2 linked regions of the Anolis sagrei genome follow. The protein of the gene in region 1 purifies or fractionates together with the protein of each later gene. This does not show direct contact. Links are inferred from orthologs where the notes say so. Each region holds a gene or a part of one and is shown on either strand. Other genes may lie near its edges.

Region 1 (10,114 bases):
AGGATTCTTAGTAAGAGATACACATAGTAATTTTACCTACTCCTAGACTATACTATAAATCCTATAACATGATAAAATTAATCCAAAGCAACTAACTCAAGTATCACTGTGAACTGATACTTAAATATATGAAAGTCATACAGCTATAAAACTGGACTCAAGAAAATTGGCAGCAATTTTAAGTTTAATTTAAACTGTTTAAATCAATGCTTTAGAATTATGAACTACAAAAAGAATACATTTCATTTTCTCCATGTTCCACAACAGTGTTTCAATTTTGAAACATAAATAATAACCCAGTCCTGTAAAACTACACAAATACAGATATGTTCTTCTTAAGAAAATACCATCTTCCCCTTTCCTTTGGGAAACCGTATCCAGGGTTGAGTCATGCCTCTTAACATTTTGCAGTCTTTTTTTGTTCAGAGCAAGCCCAACCTGTCTGATTTTGGAAGCTAAGCAGCATCAGCTCTGGTGAGTGCTTGGATGAAAGAATGCCAAATGTGGGTTATATTTCAGAGGAAGCAACTGGTAAAACCACTTCTGGTGCGTTAGAAAAACCTATGAAGTTGATGAAATTGCCATGGGTTGGCAGGTTACTTGAAGGCACATGTTCCAAGTCACACATACTTGGTGGTTTATTACTCAATTAGTGGCAACTGCATGAGTGAACAGAATGGTATTTCTTCTGAGTTAATTACAGACAATATGAAAACTCTCCTTTGGAATTTGATCTCTTGATGGTTATTTCAGACATGCAAGTCACAATGATGCTATGAACACAGAGCAACTTTGTGTGTCCCTATGTGTGTAACAGTACAGGGGAAGAATTGACCAGAACTGTGTGCAGGGATAAGTCAAAATACTGGCATAAAGATGGGGTCATTATTGGAGTGGGTAACTGTAGGTCCAGGGGGCCACATTTCTTTATTTCCGGGTCCCTCTGGAGGTATATGGACTGCAAAATAAAAAAGAGGGGAAGGAAAGAGGGGAACAGGAAATAAAAACAAAACAGATTTGAGAGTGGCAGAAAACTTTTTTTTTGTATTCTTGCCTCTGATCTGGCCAAGCAATAATCCCAAAGGTCCTTCTGAAGAAGCAAATTCATAGAAACTGTTGTAATTTCTATATAAATTTGTAGTGTGTACGTTTCTGTCCAGGGCAAATGCATCTTTGCTTTAGTGTTAAAGAATCTTTTCAAAAGGTAAATCACTGCCCCTGGATGTTTCAGAAGAAGCAATTAAGCCCTCCCCCTTTGCTAGAAAATGATAGCCTGGAGGAGTCCAAGGTAGTGCTGGGACAAAAATAGCCCATAAGCACTACGATCCTATGCACATCTACCCAGAAATAGCCAGATTAATAAATACAAAATAATAGTCTTAATTTTAAATACTAATCTACACTGTCAAGCAGCTAAATAGGAGCTAGAAAACGGCAGATGGGACAATTTCACTCAAGAAAGCCTACTGGCTTCGAAGTGCAAATACCTCTATCATGGTACCATAATATTTCTTGCTGCATTTGGATTACACATAACTATGAGTAGCTGTGACCACCACAGTGTAATTCACTGCCAACTTTGACTCTGAATTCTTTTGTGCTCTATCATTTGCCTCATGCTTGATTTTATTTATAGATGAGTGCTGGGTTTCCTTACAGAGAGCTTACTGAACATTAATCACTAACAGTGTGAAAAAATAACTTAATATTTCTATAATTTATAGATAAAGACAAAAATTGCTTAGAGGATATTAAGGTCTTTTAACAGCGCATTGGAGGCCCTCTTTCCTTATAACAGCTCCAACTCCAAATCACAAGAGAACCTTTAAAATCCCACAAAATGGATTGTGGTCATTGCTAGCAGCTTTAGTTATGACACTTCTGTGATGAGACAGAATAGTGACTGAAAGGTGAGATATAGCTTAAACACAGATCACAAAATAAATTGTAAACAATATTATAATGTTGAGGTCTTCTTAATTTTGAAGCACCTTATATTCAACAACACCAGATTTGGGTCACCTTTTTCCTACCATGGAAGCTAAGGCAGTGTTCAAAGAGGCTAAAATATAAATATACCGTATATACTCGAGTATAATCCAACCCGAATATAAGCCGAGGCACCTAATTTTACCACAAAAAACTGGGAAAACATATTGACTCGGGTATAAGCCAAGGGTGGGAAATGCAACCACTACAGGTAAATTTCAAAGTAAAAACAGATACCAATAAAATTACATTAATTGAGGCATCAGAAGGTGAAATGTTTTTTAATATTTACATAAAACTGTAATTTGAGATAAGACTGCCCAATTCTGATTAAATCATTACATATCTTCAATGTAAATGTACTTACGTATCCTTCCAACAATAATAAAGAGAGTGAAATAATAAATATAATAATAATTATAATAATAAAGTAAAATAATGGAAATGCAATAATAACAGTAGTAATAGAGTAGAATAATAAATGTAATAATAGAGTAAAATAATAAATGCAATAATAATAAAGTAAAATAATAAATGTAGTAATAATAATAGGGTAAAATACTGTAAATGTAATAATAATACAGTAGAATAATACATGAAATAAAAATAATGCTAATAGCAGAGTAAAATAATAAATAACCTTGACTCAAGTATAAGCCGAGGGGAGCTTTTTCAGCCTAAAAAAAGGGCTGAAAAGCTAGGCTTATACTCGAGTATATACAGTAATTGCAATATTTAATTCTAGTTTATACATTGATTTCAAGACTGTGGCCTTAAATGTCTAATTACCTTAAGCAAAATTTCTTTTGAGACTTCCTTATGCTCAATAATTTAAAGCAGGAAAGGACACTTTACCATAGTCCATTTGTTAAAGAACCATTTGTTAAAGAAAACCTACTTTTAAGTGCTCTTTCTGTGAAAATATAAAGTGCAACATATATATAGTTTGTTTATCAAGCTTTTCCTTTTAAGAAACAGAGCCAGCCTGTAAAGAGGACTGAGTAATTTGTGAAAGGCCAAAGAAGGCATGTTCCCTGAAGCTCTAACTCTGCTTTAAACAACTCCACAATGGAGTTTCTACAGATGGAGTTTCCAAAGCTACCCTCGAGGGATTACTCAGAAAGCCCTGCCTCCTTATTCAGTGAGAGGTTAGCCTCGCTTAATTTAATCTCATATTCATAGTAGTAATTTGATACCAGTAGCTGGCTGCCTGTACTTGTTTCTATTTGCTGCCTTGCTGCTTTTGGTGACAGTGTAATAATAACAACAGCAGTGGTAGAATCAATCTGCTTCATGTCCTGGGGGAGAGAATAAGTGTACAGTACATGTGGTGAGAGAAGTGGCCTTCTTGTCCATCCAAGAAGTCAGTTACAGACATGTGAGGAATGCAATTGGAATGCCAAGAATCTTTTACTGGCATAACCCAGCATCAGGGAAACCATTTTAAGTGAACGAAAGGGGCAATAAACAGTAGCTTCCCCTGAAAGATGATGAACTGCAAGTGAAATTACTATAAGCAAGAGACTTTAGAAGGGAATTGGACTGAAGCATGGAAAGTAGATGTCTGCAGTCATTTAAATACTTACTAACAGTGCAAAAATTATTTTCAACAGCCCATCGTTTCTTCCATTTCTCTATCTTTTGAATGATAACAGGTCATATTTAGTGTGTTCCTGGGTATAATGCCAGTTCAAACATTTAAGAGGCACTGATAACTGAAATACCAGCAATGTTCCACTTTTCTGCAAAGGTTAACATCTGACATAGGCCTTCTTCATGTGGGGAATGTACTCTGCACATGCCCAGATAATGTACATCTACTTCTCATGTTTCAGGCAGTTCCTTTGTCAAGTAAAGTCCTCTTTACAGCTTCCAGAAGCTGTGAGAGTGTGAGTGATTTTACACTATAGAGTTTCATGTCAAGTTGACTTGATTTTTTGAAAAGGGCAGCAAGAAAATGGCAAAGAGTCAGAGATGCAAATCCTGTACTATCGTGTTCAGATTTCATATCGATGTCTGCAGTGTGGAGGATAATGGCTAATGTGTACTGAACTATCAAGGAGCATTTTGAACACTTTGAAACACTTCACAAGTGTAAAACATTAGCAGGTTGAGTAACTCTTATCTAGAATTCTGAAATCTTCCAAAATTCAGAAATGACAATGACATTTTTGGCTTTCTGAGGGTTCAATGTACACTTCGCACAAAATCATTTTTTTTAATTGCCTACAGAGTATATGTACAAGGTGCACATGAAACATTAACACATTTGTGTTTAGTCTTGAATCTCCAAAAGAGCTCATTATATATGCACAAATATAAATATAGCAGTTCTAAAAATATGAAATCAGAATACTTCTGGTCCTAAACATTTTATATATTACCCAGTCAATTTTAAACCATGTCTTTATAGGTGTTTTGGACTTCAAACTCCCACAATTCCTAACAGCTGGTATTTCTTTCTTCTACCAGCTGTTAGGAATTGTGGGAGTTGAAGTCCAAAACACCTGGAGGGCTGAAGTTTGCCCATGCCTTATCTACACTGTAGAAATATATTATTATTATTATTATTAAACTTTATTTGTACACCGCTAGCATCTCCCGAAGGACTCGATGCGGCTTACAAAGGCCAAGGCCTCAACACACAATACAACAATACAAAACCTAGGCAAATTAAAAACAATTAAAGCAATCTAAACAACAAGCAATGAACAATCCACTAAGACAAAATAAAACTGGGCCGGGCCAGAGTAAGGGTACAAGAGTTAAAAGTGCTGATGTGACAGGTGGAATATGAGGCTTATGGGCAAGTCCAGTGTGCGGCGGTCTTAGCTTTAATAAAATGCTTATGGGACTTGGTATTGGAGGTTTCCTATTCGGGGAAGGCACATCGGAACAGCCGTCTTCAAGTTCTTTCTGAAGACTGCCAATGTAGGGGCCTGTCTAAGATCTTTGGGGAGGGTGTTCCAGAGTCGGGGGGCCACCACGGAAAAGGCCCTGTCTCGTGTCCCCACCAAACGCGCTTGCGACGCAGGTGGGATCATGAGCAGGGCCTCTCCAGATGAACGAAGAGAGCGCGTGGGTTCGTAGACAGAGATATTCTGCATTATATGGTCATATATTTATTTTTATTATATATATATATATATATATATAATATTGTATTATATATATATATATAAAATTAATATATACTATGTATTCTATAATATATTATATTATATTCTGCATTATATGGTCAGCTGTTAGTCCAAAACACCTGGAGGGCCAAGTTTGCCCATGCCTGCTATAAAGGCTAGCTTTGTCCCTTTTTTTACCTCATAGGGGAACAGGTGAGAGGCCGAGGAAAATGAGATTGAAAAGAAAACAAACCCGCCCAAGAAGAGTGAGCGAGCCAACCTCTCCCTCTTTTTCTCTCTTCAGCTTCCCTCAGACACGGTCGCGCATGCGCACGCACGCTTCCCTCAGACACTCGCGCACCTGGGCCGAAGTTTGCCCATACCTACATTATATGGTCAGCTGTTAGTCCAAAACACCTGGACTATGACTGCGATAAAGGCTAGCTGTGCCCCTTTTTTACCTCATAGAGGAACAGGTGAGAGGCCGAGGAAAAGAATGACATTGGAAAGAAAACAAACCCGCCCAAGAAGAGCGAGCGAGCGAACAAACCTCTCCCCCTTTCTCTCTCCTCAGCTTTCCTCAGACACGGTCGCGCATGCGCACGCACACTTCCCTCAGACACTCGCGCACCTAGCCTCGGCTTCCCTCGGACACCCTCGCGCACGCGCACGCCCGCGTTCCTCGCCCCGGCTTCCCTCAGACTCCCTCGCGCATGCGCACGCCGGCGGTCCTCGCCTCGGCTTCCCTCAGACGCACTCTCTCGCGCAGGCGCATATCACGCCGACTCCGGAGCAAGGCGGGTGCTCTTTCCCAGCATGCCTTGCTAGCCTCCTCTCCTCCTCCCCCCTCCCCACCGTGTGGGTGGGTGAGTGAGTGAGCGAGCTGAGAATGATGGAGCGGAGGCTGTAATGGCGGCCGGCGGCGGCAGAAGCAGCGGCTCGCCTTGGGCGCTGCTCTGACGCGCGGCTCTCACCCAAACCCAGTCCCCGGCTCTTTCCTGGCAGACTGCGCCTCTGAAGGAACAAGCGAGGCGGAAGGGAAAGGGGGGAAAGGAGCGGGAGGGAGGACAATGGACGAGCACCCCGGCGCCGGCGGAGGGACCATGCCCAGGGCCCCTCAGCAACAGCAGCAGCAGCCTTTGCCTCCCGCGGCGGGAAATGCCAACTCTCCGCTGCTCGGCCCTGGCTGCGCGGGGCCTGGAGGGGGCTTGCCGCCTCAGCAGCAACAGCAGCAGCCACCTCAAGGCCCGGCGCCGCCTCAGGAAGCGGTGGGCCCCGGCGGAGGAGGGGGAGGAGGGTCGGAGCTGTCCCGGCCTCAACACTACACCATCCCGGGGATCCTGCACTACATCCAGCACGAGTGGGCCCGCTTCGAGATGGAGCGCGCTCACTGGGAAGTGGAGAGGGCCGAGCTCCAGGTAAGGAAGGAAGGAAGGAAAGGGGAAGGGGGCATGCTCTCGGGGCGTGACGTGGGGGCACTACAGCTAACGTGTGTGTGTATGTTGCGGCGGGGCGTGGCGGGGCGTCGTCGCCGTCACTCGGCACAGTCCCCCCTGCCTGCCTTCCTTTCCCGGGGCAGCCATTTTGGTTGCTTCGCATGGCGCCCGCCGGGGCCCGGGCCTGTCAAAGGAGCCCCCGTCCAAGAAGTGAAGGCCTCTCGTTCCCGCTTCTCCTCTCGGTTCTTCCTCGGCCTCCAAACCTGAGGCACACCACATCCTCCCCCCCCCCCCTCCCCGGAGCCGCTCTTTCTGACCATTTGTTGTCCGGAAATGGACGAACCTTTCCGAGGCCTTTCGCGGCCTAGCGGCTCCATCGAATGCCGCTCCAAACCTGTCATCCCGACAGGAGGAATTTAATGTATGGTGAAGGCTTTCATGGCCGGAATCACTGGGTCGTTGTAGGTTTTTTCGGGCTATATGGCCATCTTCTAGAGCAGTGATTCTCATTCTGGGGTCCCCAGATGTTTTTGGCCTTTAAAAGGCATTTATCAGGCATGGGCAAACTTTGGTCCTCCATTTGTTTTGGACTTTAACTCCCACAATTCCTAACAGCCAATGTGGTGGAGGCTCCTTCTTTGGAAGCTTTTAAACAGAGGCTGGATGGCCATCTGTCAGGGGTGATTTGAATGCAATATTCCTGCTTCTTGGCAGGGGGTTGGACTGGATGGCCCATGAGGTCTCTTCCAACTCTTTGATTCTATGATTCAACTCCCAGAAATCCTAACAGCCAGTCAACTGGCTGGGATTTCTGGGAGTTGTAGGCCAAAAACATCTGGGGACCCCAGGTTGAGAACCACAGTTCTAGAGGCATTCTCTCCTGACGTTTTGCCTGAATCTATGGCAAGCATCTTCACTACCTCTGAGGATGCTTGCCATAGATGCAGGCGAAACGTCAGGAGAGAATACCTCTAGAACATGGCCATATAGCCCGAAAAAACCAACAACAACCCAAGAGGAATTTGTTCATAAATGACAGCGCAGATGGGTGCCAAAGTGCATTGATTCCACAGCACTGATTCCAAAAATCAGCAGGAAGGAAATACGTGCTCTAACCGCATTCTCAAACGGTGACACTGACTGACTAACCCCATTGTACACTGCTCAGAATCCAGTTTGAAACTGCATTATATGGTCAGTGTAAGCTCATTCAATGTAGCCTACGCTGACCTTATGATGCCATTTGAAACTGCATTATATGGTCAGTGTAGACTCATACACTGACCATACCATGCAGGTATGGGCAAACATCTCCCACAGTTGGCTGTTAGGAATTGTGGTAGTTAAAGTCCAAAACAAATGGAGGACCAAAGTTTGCCCATGCCTGATAAATGCCTTTTGAAACTGCATTCTATGGTCAGTTTAACTTCATTCAATGCAGCCTACACTTACCATGTAATACCATTTGAAACTTCATTGTATGGTCAGTGTAACTTCATTTAATGTGATCTACACTGACCATATAATGCCATTTGAAACTGCATTATATGGTCAGTGTAAGTTCATTCAATGCAGCCTACACTAACCATATAATACCACTTGAAACTTCATTGTATGGTCAGTGTAACTTCATTTAATGCAGCCTACACTGACCATATATTGCCATTTGAAGCTGCATGATATGGTCAATGTAGGCTCATGCCATGCAGCCTAAACCGACCACTTAATGCAGGCATGGACAAACGTTGACCCTCCAAGTGTTTTGGATTTCAACTCCAACAATTGCTATCAGCCAGTAGGCTGTTAAGATTTGTGGAAGTTAAAGTCCAAACACCTGGAGGACCGAAGTTTGCCCATGACTGATATAATGCCACTTGAAACTGCATTATATGGTCAGTATAAGTTCATTCATTGCAGCCTACACTGACCATATAATGCCATTTGAAACTGCATTATATAGTCAGTGTAGGCTCATATAATGCAGCCTACACTGACCATATAATGCAGTTTCATACTGCATAATGCAGTTTTACACTGATTGTATAATATTGTTTGAAATGACATGCTATGGTCAGTGTAGTCTGCATTGTATGAGCCTACACTGACCATATAATGCAGCTTCAAACGGCATTCTCTGCAGCGCAGATGGGGCCAGTGTCACCGTTGGAGAGAGTGCATCCATCATCACTCAGAGCACATATTTCCTTCCTCCTTGCTATTATTTCTGAATAATGGCAAATGGTAGATTTGTGTGAAGTCCAAAGGAGTGGATCAATTACAAATTAAATGGGATACGATTATTTCTGAAAGTGCATCTACACTGTGGGATCAATGCAGTTTGATACCCATTTCAGCTGCCAGGGTTCAATGGCATGGGATCATGGGAGTTATGATTTTAAAAGGCCTATAGCCTTCTCTGTCAAAGAGTGCTATCTCATCAAACTACATGTCCCCGATTCCATAGTGGTGCCCAACTGCATTAATTCTACAGGGTAGATGGACCCTAAGAGATCTATCTACACTGCTGAATTATAGTCTTGTAAAGTGCCATAGTGCCTTTCCAAGGATTCTTGGGAGTTGTAGTTTTCCAGTGACATCAGAGTGCACTGACTGAGAAAGATATAGATCTCATAAAACTGCAAATCCCAGAATTCTATAGCATTGAGTGACAGCAGATAATGTGATGTCAAACTGCTATAATTCTGCAGTGTATTGACAACCTCAGAGAAAGTCCTATCCCCCCCCCCCATGCAAGAAAATGGACATGGCTACAGAATAGAAGAAAACAAGTTGAGTGGCCCATATCCAGAATCCAAAATATTCCCAAAGTGTCCGCATCAGTGACTGAGATAGTGGTATTTATTTTCTTATGATTCAGTGTACACAAACTTTTGTTTCATGCACAAAAATATTATAATATTATATAAAACTTGCTTCAGGCTGTGCTTTATAAGATTTCATGTTGAGGTTTGGGTTCCATGTCTGAGATATTTCATTATGTACGTGTTTGCTAACATAGGTATCCTAAAATCCAAAACGCTTATGGTCCCAAGCATAAAAGTTAATCAATATGTGCTGACTGGGTCAGATAGTTGGTCCTTCTCCCCAACTAAACTCCTGCTTAAAGGGGCTCTTCATGCTTTCAGACAGTATTCTCTCTTAGGTATACCTAAAGTTCCCATGCATTATTTGTGGTTCTCTTCAAGTATTCATCAAGCCAAACCCTGTTTAGCTTCCAATATCAGTGAAAATTGCAAGTCCTCAGGAAGATGTATATTTCTTATGTGATCAGCAGAGATATCCGTGAAGGGTGGGTTGATAAATGGGATGAAATGTGGATTCCTTTAATCCCAGACTGAGAGTTTTCTGCTGTTCACAAACTAGGTGGTAAATCTGGATTTGTCACTTTTCTTTTTTAAAGGTCTTGCGTCATTTCGACAGTTGTCATTAATTAAGCATGTTGTCTAATATGCAAATGATAATTAAAATGGATGCATAGATGTAAATATGCATGCATTTTTATCACTAAATCTGGAAGTAGTAGACTTTAAGTATCAAGCTGGGCTGATT
Region 2 (10,585 bases), on another chromosome or scaffold:
ATATAAATTTCTGTTTTTAATATGCTGAGGGGCCCAGTCAATATGAAGTCAATAAGAATGACCAACTTTCTTTTTTATTTTGCAAAATCACACATTTAAGTACATTGTATGACTAAACACATTGTATGATCTTCCCCTTTTTGTGGGCATTGGCCTACCCTAGTTTTCAATATTTTTTAAAAAATTATCATGGTTTTTCATTTCCAAATAATTTTGCACTATTGCATGTGTTTACTAAGACAAAATTAGCAAGGCTTCTAACAGAAGTGGAGAACTTGGGTATTACATTTGACCTCAGAAATGAGCTACACATGAGCTACATCTCAAGATTATCTTGTCATCTTGTATTCTTTTTCTCCTATTTTTAAAGTTCTTTAAAACATGTACTGGATTTTTATACAGTGTGCTGAAGGTCAAAAGTTTGTTGGTGCAGTTGCAGAATTTCTGGAAATAAGTATGTATGTATAGGAAGCTTGCCATTTATTTTTAGACCAGTGAGAAAAGATGAAATAAAATATAAAATGGGTGTTGGGGCAGATTTAGTGTAAGAATGAACAGGTTGTACAAAATTAATCTTCTTGGCCTGGAACTTTTCTTGTTTCTTGTTTCTTCCACTGCAGTGCAGGTTACTATTTAAATTAGTACAGTAGTCTTTGACATTATGGATTGATAATTAAGTGGACTCAGCCCAAGCAGTGTTGCATGTGATCTCATAATGGTACGTATGTGGATTTTGATAAGATTTAGATTCTGATTCCTGGATCCATTTAGGTATTTAAATCAGTTTATTCCCTTCTCTAGTAAATGAATTTCTTGTAACTTTTCTAAGAAAAAATTGAAGTAAATACTCTCCCCATTACATTTAAAAAAATCATGGAACTCTGAATTCAGATTCAGATAATATTGCCTGAACAAACATTTTGACATTTTTTTTCCTATCTTCCCATCATTAGTACTAACCAATCATTTTTTTCTTTAATATCATTAGTATAATCACGTTCTAGGTTTTTATTTTCCTCTGCAAACAACAGTGTTTTCCCATCTGATATCTTCATAATAACACTAAGATCTTCACGAAGTGCTTGAAATATTAGTTTACACTTCTCACTATTGACTAACCCATAAAAACAATAGAATTTCTTCAGCTTTTACTGCTTATGAAACAATATCTTTTACAGTGCTGTCTTTTGCAGCTAGTCACTCCAGTTCTTGCAAACACCACTCAAAATATTTTGATTTTAAAGTATTGTAATTTGTTCCTGGTGTATGTTTCAAGGTACACGTGTCCTTCAAAATAACTTTTACATACTTACCCAATCCTAAAACACTAAATAACGTTAAAATGTCCATTTTAACTTTTTAAAAACAATGTGTGGAATGACCCTAGATATTAATCGTCTTAATATTGTTCTTGAGTCAAGATGCTTTTTGGAGGTTCTGCTGAACTACAGCATCAGTAGGATTCTGAAACCATAAGTAGAAGGAAGTTCAGGGACCAGGGCTTTCCCGTACTCTTCCCCTTCTGTTTCTGAAGATTAGTGGAATGCTATGGGATTGCTAGGCAGAATGCTGCTTGGAGGAGGTCCTTATATGACTTGAGCTCTTCATGTTCATGGTGCTTCTCCTCAGTCTGGGCCACTCCACCTTTCTGCCAGCAAGCATGTCTCTTGCAGCCTCCATTGTCCAGAAGGATCCCATCTTGTTGTGAGGGGAAGGACAGGATGTGGACATTTCCTTTCCAGGGTTCCACCCTCTTAATAGGTTGCAACCGAGAATTGACTCTAGGATAGTATTTTGTGTGAGAGAATGAGAATGAAATTTAATGTTTGACAACATTGCTTTTTCGTGTTCATGAACAATTGAATTTTACAATGAAAGTTTTAAACTATAATTTCAAAGGGCATTGAAAACATTATTAGCATTTTTTTAGGTTGGCATAGTACATACTTGGTAAAGTACATGCTTTCTGCTATGTTAATTAAAAGTACTTTTATGTATAAAATGAAATGTATAGCTGTCATTATGAATGAGATTGTCTGTTTTTTAAAAAGGCTGTCTTCCCGAGTGTTGATAAAGGGTTTGCCATGAGAGATCTTGCCATAAAGTTTGTAATCTGGGGCTAGACCTGATTGACAGTTTAGGACCAGATTACATAGATACCATAGATACTTTACATATACATGCCTTAAGGCCTTTTGGAATAGTTTGACAACCAGCCTAATGTGTGACAGCCAGTCACAAGGACAGCTACATTTAAATTTGCTTCATATTGGAATTTGTAGTATTGCCCTCAGCCCCTCTGCATCTCTAAACATAAGTTTGCAGTGTAAAAGTGAAGTAAAGATGATAAATAGTCCTTTGTCACAAAATTTTCCCTGCTTCCTTCTTCCATTCCTGCAAAGAGTTGTTTAAACATTCTCCCACATAACTTACATTCTGTTCACCGAAAGCATCATGTTTGCCTCAGATTAAGTGACGTGTCTAACTTTCACATATGGCCTGAACATACGGTACTATTAAAAACCTGAAAGTTTAAAATTCCTATTTGTGTTTAAAGTTGAAATTACTATTTGAATTTTGATTTTATTGGTGCATTGAAGTTTGGAGTACTGTGTGTAAAATGATTGGGTTTGAAAACGGAGAGGGTCCTTCACTCAGGAATTTATGTACTTCGCATTTTACTTAGCAATGGATGCCAACAACCTGAATGCCCTGTTAATTTTCAATGCAATACACACACTTTGTATTAAAAATAATATATGGTACTAATTCTGTGTTTCCCCCTGATGATTGCCAAACCCTGGATGCAAGCTGTCTTGTTTCTAAGACATTGATTGCTACTGAATGTATAGGAAATGCTTCCACTTTTGTAAAAGAAAATAGTGTTTGTATGATGTACCGATATGGCATGTCTCAGCCAGCAAGTATGGTGCCTTGTTTCTTTAGTTTTTAGACATGACATTTCATTCCATTATAGTCTCACCTATGTCTTCAGAACCACTGTGAGATTAGATAAGAAAATAATGTTTCAGAATTTGCAGTACAACTGATCTAAAGTCTTAGCATGAAAATGGACAGTATAGTCCTATAATCACCAGTGTGCCACAAATGAGTTTCTTAAATGCCTAACTATACATTTCTATAAAAAGCCAAAACGGTGTCTGTATGTTACTTTTGTCATTACATTGTAAAATACTGTAAAGCTGTTGTTGTATGTCCTAATTTTGCATTTTAAAATGTTTTCCTATGTAAAGGCATCAATATAGCAACTTTGTATAAAAGTAGCTTTCTAGAGTTTTATTTTATTAAAAAAAAGTCTAAAGAGTTGCCAAAATATTCCTGAGCAGTTTGCAAACTGTTTTAAACCCCCACCTTCCCCACAATTGTTCTTTTCAAACATTCCAGCCTTCCCTTTAAGAGAGTAACATTTATTCTACAGCTAATATATTTTCTTTTTCATCCTCCATATGCTACCACTTAATTTTGGCTTGCTTTTACATTGAGCTTACCCAATGTCCATTTTAAAATGTATTCTGTATTATTGACAACCTTGTCCCCTCACCAGTGCCAGCTCCATAAGAACTGTAGCATGGCAATAAAATATCTGATTTTTACTATGTAAGAGTGTCTTTTGTTCCTTTGGTGTTGGGGTGGGGTTATATTTTTCCTTATGTCCAAATGATTATTATTGTGCATGCTACAATATTAACTGTGATGGCCGAGATGCTAAAGGTATAGTAAATAAAATGTATGATCTACTTTGCCCAGATCTAATACCCAGGAATTTTAAAGATATTTTTACCACCAACTTAACCATTCATATTTTAAGTTTGGTCTTGATTGAACAGATCTTTTTTTTTTTTTTTGGTGTCTTGGTTTTTTAGTTTCTAGGGTAATTTTGGGCTCTGATTTAGAATGTTGCATTGGATAGATCACATCAGCTCTAGTTTTGTTGATAAGCTATCCACTTATTTGACATCCATGGATTCAGTCCATTCACAGCTTGAAAATGTCCCCCTCCCAAATAAAATCCCAAAGGAAAGTTTTGATTGTGCCATTTTATATAAGAGATACAATTTTACTGCACCATTGAATATAATGGGACTTTAGTCTCCATTAATTATGGTATCGGGTCTTAAAACCATAATCCAGCAGATACCAAGGTCTCATTGTAGTTTAAGCTGAGGATATACAAAGACTGGGCTAGGATGGGAGTTAGCAACTGAAAGCCACTAGAAGTTTTTATTTGTTGGCTTACAATTTCTATGATCTCTAATCAACATAGCCCATGGGGGTGGATTATTGCCTACCAATCTTGAGTTAAAGTGTATGAGAGAGAAAAATGGTGCCTTAGCAATATAAGAGCATTGGACTTGCTGTTTGGCTTCCAACCTAATCTCCTTAACTATGCCTCTGGTCAATGGGTACATCTACACTTTAAACATGCTGTTGGAGACCACTTTGAACTGTCACAGCTCTGTGCTACGCAGTCGTGAAAGTTGTGGTGTTACAAGGTTTTGTGTCTCACCAAACTACAACTTCCATGATTTCATAGCATTGAGCCATCACAATGAAAGTGCTTTAAACCTAAGCGTTGATGCACCTTTAGTTCCTTATTTTAAAAGCACATTAATGTCTTATGCTATGGATCTCCTTCCATGGGTTCTGGTGCCATGTAGCTGTGATGTTAAAGTACAAGTCAACAAGTCAACACTTAAGATATGACAGTTTTTCTCCAACATATTAGGGAGCAGCAGTATATTTGTATGGTGCCCCCAGTGGCGCAGTGGGTTAAACCACTGAGCTGCTGAACTTGCTAACTGAAAGGTCGGTGGTTTGAATCCACAGGATGGGGTGAGCTCCCGTTAGCCCCAGCTTCTGCCAACCTAGTAGTTCAAAAACGTGCAAATGTGAGTACACCAATAGGTATTGCTTCAGCGCTCCATGCAGTCATGTTGGCCACATGACCTTGGAGGTGTTTATGGACAATGCCAGCTCTTCGGCTTAGGAATGGAGGTGAGCACCACCACCTAGAGTCGGACATGACTAGACTTAATATCGGGGAAAACCTTTACTTTTATTATATTTGTGCTCAATGTTTTCTTTTTCCCCTAGAAACACTCCAGGGACTGGCAGCAGATGGCTCAGCAACTGGCCCTTGTCCATGGACTGCCATTCTGCCTAGTGATGCAATAAGTGATGTGTATTTATTTAACATTTCTATGCTGCCCTCCTCACCCCAAAGGGGACTCAGAGCAGCTTACAAGATATATATACATACAATATATTATATTATTAGCATAGTACAATATCAGTACTAAATATTACTATATTGTACTATACCATTATATTGTAATATTATTAGTAATATTACATGTAATATAAATATATAATTATAACATTATTATTATTATTAGTATTATATTGCATTACATTATAATATAAATATTATATGTATATACAATATATTATTTTAGGTAAAGGTAAAGGTTGTTCCCTGACATTAAGTCCAGTCATGTGTGACTCTGGGGTGTGGTGCTCATCTCCATTTCTAAGCTGAAGAGCCGGTGTTGTCTGTAGACACCTCCAAGGTCATGTGGCCGGCATGACTGCATGGAGCGCCATTACCTTCCCGCCAGAGTGGTACCTATTGATCTACTCACATTTGCATGTTCTCGAACTGCTAGGTTGGCAGAAGCTAGGGCTGACAGCGGAAGCTCATGCCGCTTGCCGGAATTGAACCTGTGGCCTTTTGGTTAACAAGCTCAGCAGCTCAGTGCTTTAACCCACTACGCCACCGGGGCTCCCAATATTATATTATTGGGAGTTGATGTTGTCATTTGGGAGTTGTAGTTGCTGGGATTTATAGTTCACCTACAATCAAAGAGCATTTCGAACTACACCAACAGTGGAATTGAACTAATCTCGGCACACAGAACTCCCATGACCAACAGAAAATACTGGAAGGGTTTGGTAGGCATTGACTTTTGAGTTTTGGAGTTGTAGTTCACCTACATCCAGAGAGCACCGTGGACTCAAACAATGATGGATCTGGACTAAACTTGGCATGGATACTCAATATGCCGAAATGTGAACACTGGTGAAGTTTGGGGGAAAATAGATCTTGACATTTGGGCATTGAAGTTGCTGGGATTTATAGTTCACCTACAATCAAAGGGAATTCAGAACTCCACCAATGATAGAATTGGGCCAAACTTCCAATAGAGAACCCCATGACCAACAGAAAATACTGTGTTTTCTGATGATCTTTGGTGACCCATTTGACACCCCCCCCCCGTGTCCCGACCCCAAGGTTGAGAAACGCTGCCCTAGTTGATGGAAGAAGGGGACTACAACTCCCGGCATGCAACGCTCCTTCCTGCTTCCCTCCGCCGAGACGTCATTTCCGGCATCCGTTGTCTCCGCTCGTTGAGTGCGGGCACGCGGCCGCTCAGAACGTTGGAGTAACGGCCTTCCACGCTTCGCCGTCGCCATGGTGAGTCCCGGGCCTTCCTGCCTTCCTCGCTGCGTGGCGGCAGGGAGAGGGCGCGCCCGCTCGTCCCTTCGTTCTTTCCTTCGGAAGGGGCTCAGCAGGAAGGAGGCAGGGAGGGCCGAAGGTTCTAGAAGGGTCTAAAGGGAGGAGGAAGGAGCCAGGAGCCGGTCCCGCTCTACTCCTCGCGTGCCTCTCCAAAAATGAGGGGCTCTCGCGCGCTGGGAAACAAGGCAAGGCTCTCCTGTGGGCCTTGCCCTTCCTTTCTTCCAGTCCCTCCCTCGCTTCCCCCTTCCTCACCCGAGACAAAGGCAGGCGCCGCTCCTGTGGTTTGGCTTAGTAGCATATAGGCCCGAAGCCTGAGATGGTCTCCCTTTCATCTGTAATGACTGTGTGCCCAGCACACTCAAATCCTCACATTGTCCACGCCCGGTTCTTCCCGGATTAAGGCCTGTTACACCAGGCATGGGCGAACATGGGCCCTCCAGGTGTTTTGGACCAACGCCCACCATTCCTGACATTCTCAGGCCTTTTTATATATATATATATATATATATATATATATATATATATATATATTTACTGTATTTGTATTCCGCCTTTCTCAGCCTGTAGACGACTCAAGGCGGTCAACAGGGCAAAAATTCAATGCTTACATTGTTATAAATACAATTAAAAGCATATAATAAAAACTAAACAAATCAATACAATATACATTCATAGTGTCTCCTTGTTAAAAACGTTGTCCGGACTCATTGTCCAGTCGTTCCATTTTCCTATGTCAGTTACTCTGCATTTGCAAATGCTTGTTCAAAAAGCCACGTCTTGACTTTTTCCGGAAAGTTAAAAGGGAGGTGGCCGATCTAATATCTATAGGGAGGGTGTTCCACAGCTGAGGGGCCACCACCAAGAAGGCCCTGTCTCTCATCTCACTTAGTGGCTGAGGGGGAAAAGGAAATGACCTGAGGTGTTAGGAATGGTGGGAGCTGAAGTCCAAAAACTATAGCTAAATGTGCTACAGCAGTGGTTCTCAACCTGTGGGTCCCCAGATGTTTGGCCTTCAACTCCCAGAAAACTTCACAGCTGGTAAACTGGCTGGGATTTCTAGGAGTTGTAGGCCAAAACATCTGGGGATCCACAGGTTGAGAACAACTGTGCTACAGGATCTCCCACCAGAACAAAGTTTTTGCAGTTTAATCTATTTTTCCATGTTTTAATGTTAGACACCATAAGAAAACATAATAATAAGCTTTATTTATATCCCACCCGGAGCCCCTAGTGGCACAGTGGGTTAAACTATTGAGCTGCTAAACTTGCTGACCAAAAGGTTGGCGGTTCAAATCCTAGGAGTGGGATGAGCTCCTGCTGTTAGCCCCAGTTTCTGCCAACCTAGTAGTTCAAAAATATGCAGCTGTGAGTGGATCAACAGGTACCGCTTCTGCTAGAAGGTAACGGCACTCCATGCAGTTATGCTGGCCACATGACCTTGGAGGCATCTACGGACAATGTCGGCTCTTCATAGATTTAACGTCAAGGAGTAACCTTTACCTTTTATTTCCTACTCCCTCCCTGGAGGGACTTAAAGTGGTTTACAACAAAACAAACAAATACAATATATATTATAACACAACCAATATTCACATATCAGTTAATAAAACAGTATAAAACAATACTATAAACATAAATAAAAACAATTTAAAAGACTATGAGACCTTCTAAAACTAGTGTGTAAGGCCATTTAAAACCAGTCATTCCTATGATCTAAGTATCCGGGCTATAAATTATAGTTCTAATAACCATTAAAATCCTGTCCAATAGGGTGGTAGATACTTTTAGAAATGACATTTATAACCCAGGAACAAAAATAATGTAACATAATGTTTTTGTTGTTGTTAGGGTATATACACCCAGGTATGCATTTTCTTTATGGCTCTTTCTTTCTTTCCTTTCTTTCCTTCATACACTCTTCTCTCTTTTCTTCCAGTCTTTCATTTATCTCTTACTTTTCCTCATACACTTTTCTTCTTCCCTCCCTCTTCCATTCTTTCTTTCTCTGTCCCTCCCCTCTTACCTTTCCCCTATCCTTTCTCAACTTTCCTCAATCCTTTTCCTTTCCCCCCTTCATTTCCTTCTCCTTTCCCTTCCTTTTTCCGCCTTCGTTCTTTCGCCTCATACACATGCCACCTAGCAACAGCCAAGCTGTTGTGCTCCCTTTCTTTCCCAGTCACGTCATAGAGGGCCACTTCACCTAGCCACACCCAGTCAGCTCTGTTGCTTTTCTTTCCCGCAGACTTGGGCCTGAAAGGGGTGGCTTTGTTACTTCAGACCCCTCAATTATCTTAAGTTGGATCATGAAGTGTACATATGCCAAGTTTGGTCCAGATCCATCATGCCATGAGGAGCCTTTGGAGTACGAACAAAACAACAAACATACATACAGATACTGACTTATATGTGAGATAATACTATATTTATCTGTAGCTCTGTGATTTTTTATCGCTGTTATTTAGACACAAAGTGGCTCACAACAATGGGAAAGCAATACAATTTAATATCTCCAGCATGTAAATATTAAAATAGATTGAAACATACATCACTCATAACATTAAAAAAACAGTTAAATACTAAAAGTACTACACAGCACCTTCGTGGTTTATTCTTCGCAACTCTTCCTGTTTATATCAAATGCACACTCCATTCTGACTCCAGTTGAGGGTCTCTTAATGGGAAAGCCAAACTGCTCCAAAATTGTTTCCATAAGTGGTTGATATAGTGACATCTTTGCTTTCTGATGGTTCAGTGTACACAGAATCCATCTTGTGCACCACATTGGGCCCCATATCCAGAACTAATGACACAATCTCAATTTCCCAGGGCGAAATGCCATGGAATCTTGGGATGTGCAGTTTGGAGATGCACCAACACTCTTTGGAAGAGAAAGCCTTGAAAAAGTACAACTCCCAGAATTCAGTAATATTGAGCCAGGGCAGTTAAAGAGGTGAACTATATTAAGTGTAGATATACCCCAAGATATTGCATTATGTATCTGCAGATATTCCAAAATTCAAAACACTTCATATCCCAATCATTTTCAAGAAGGAAGACTCAACCCACAATACAGAAATGTATATCCTGCAGATTTCAATCTCCCTGTTTCCTGTTGCCACTTTATACTTTAAAAGTTTGGGAGCTATAGAAGGGCTATATCCAGGAGGCCTGTTCAGTCTGTTCTTTGTCTTCCTCTTTCTGTCTGAAGTAGCATTACTGGGAAACATAGGAAAAAAAGATTTTTTTATTTTATATTAGCTGAGGTAAAATTCCCAAGGTTGGAGAAGCAAGATCCATGTTATCTGCTAAATAGAGGCTTGTATTTAGACCCAATCTTGAGACCATGGATGCATCTGCACTGTGCAGTTAATGCAGTTTGATACCACTTTAGCTTCCATGGTTCAGTGCTATAGAATTAGTTTTACAAGGTCTCTAGCCTTCTCTATGAAAAGCTCCTGGTGCCTCACCAAACTGAAAAAGACTCCAGGATATTGAGCCATGGTGGTTGAAATGATGTCAAATTGCATTAATTCACAGTATATGTGAAGTCAGTCCTAATTCCATTTGTAATGCAACTTTCCTCTGCATAGTTCACTCTGAAAGACTCAGAATACCATATATAACTATGATAGCAAATAAGTGGCAAAATAGAATTATTTTATGTACGCAAAACTTAAAAATAGGTTGACATCCTATCCTTCAACCTAACAAGTTTAATTGAAATGTTAAATTGTAACTATGAGGTTAGATTCCACAAATATCATTTATCAAAAAATAATGTTGTAAAATGCAGTGTGTGGAATGACTGTAAGGGCAATTCTAAGATACTGGAGGTTCCCCTTCCGTATTTTAGAAAACTATTTTGGAAGGATAGGAAAAACTTCAGAGCAGATGCTTGGACAACACGGGGGAGCTCCAGAGAAAAGAGGAGGGGAAGAAGGTCCTGCAGTGTCAGCAGGTGTTTGTGAGTGTGGTTATGGATGGAGGCATAGATATTATTTGACAATATATCTCAAAAATAATTGCTTGCTATGTGTTGAATGTTGT

What was found.
Region 2: the proteins of STRN3 (region 1) and CCT2 purify together in Homo sapiens (affinity purification with mass spectrometry; 3 studies listed by BioGRID and IntAct, with this or other methods). This does not show direct contact. The link is inferred for Anolis sagrei from reciprocal best matches to the Homo sapiens genes STRN3 and CCT2.

What each region holds. Positions count from the first base shown.
Region 1 is NC_090021.1:298,718,006-298,728,119, reverse strand, and holds the start of STRN3 (striatin-3), read left to right. Parts: upstream 1-5,942; 5' UTR 5,943-6,178; coding exon 6,179-6,526; intron 6,527-10,114. Other genes in the region: AP4S1 (AP-4 complex subunit sigma-1), read right to left, coding at 5,570-5,574. UniProt on the Homo sapiens protein: Calmodulin-binding scaffolding protein which is the center of the striatin-interacting phosphatase and kinase (STRIPAK) complexes.
Region 2 is NC_090025.1:143,350,656-143,361,240, forward strand, and holds the start of CCT2 (T-complex protein 1 subunit beta), read left to right. Parts: upstream 1-6,389; 5' UTR 6,390-6,493; coding exon 6,494-6,496; intron 6,497-10,585. UniProt on the Homo sapiens protein: Component of the chaperonin-containing T-complex (TRiC), a molecular chaperone complex that assists the folding of actin, tubulin and other proteins upon ATP hydrolysis.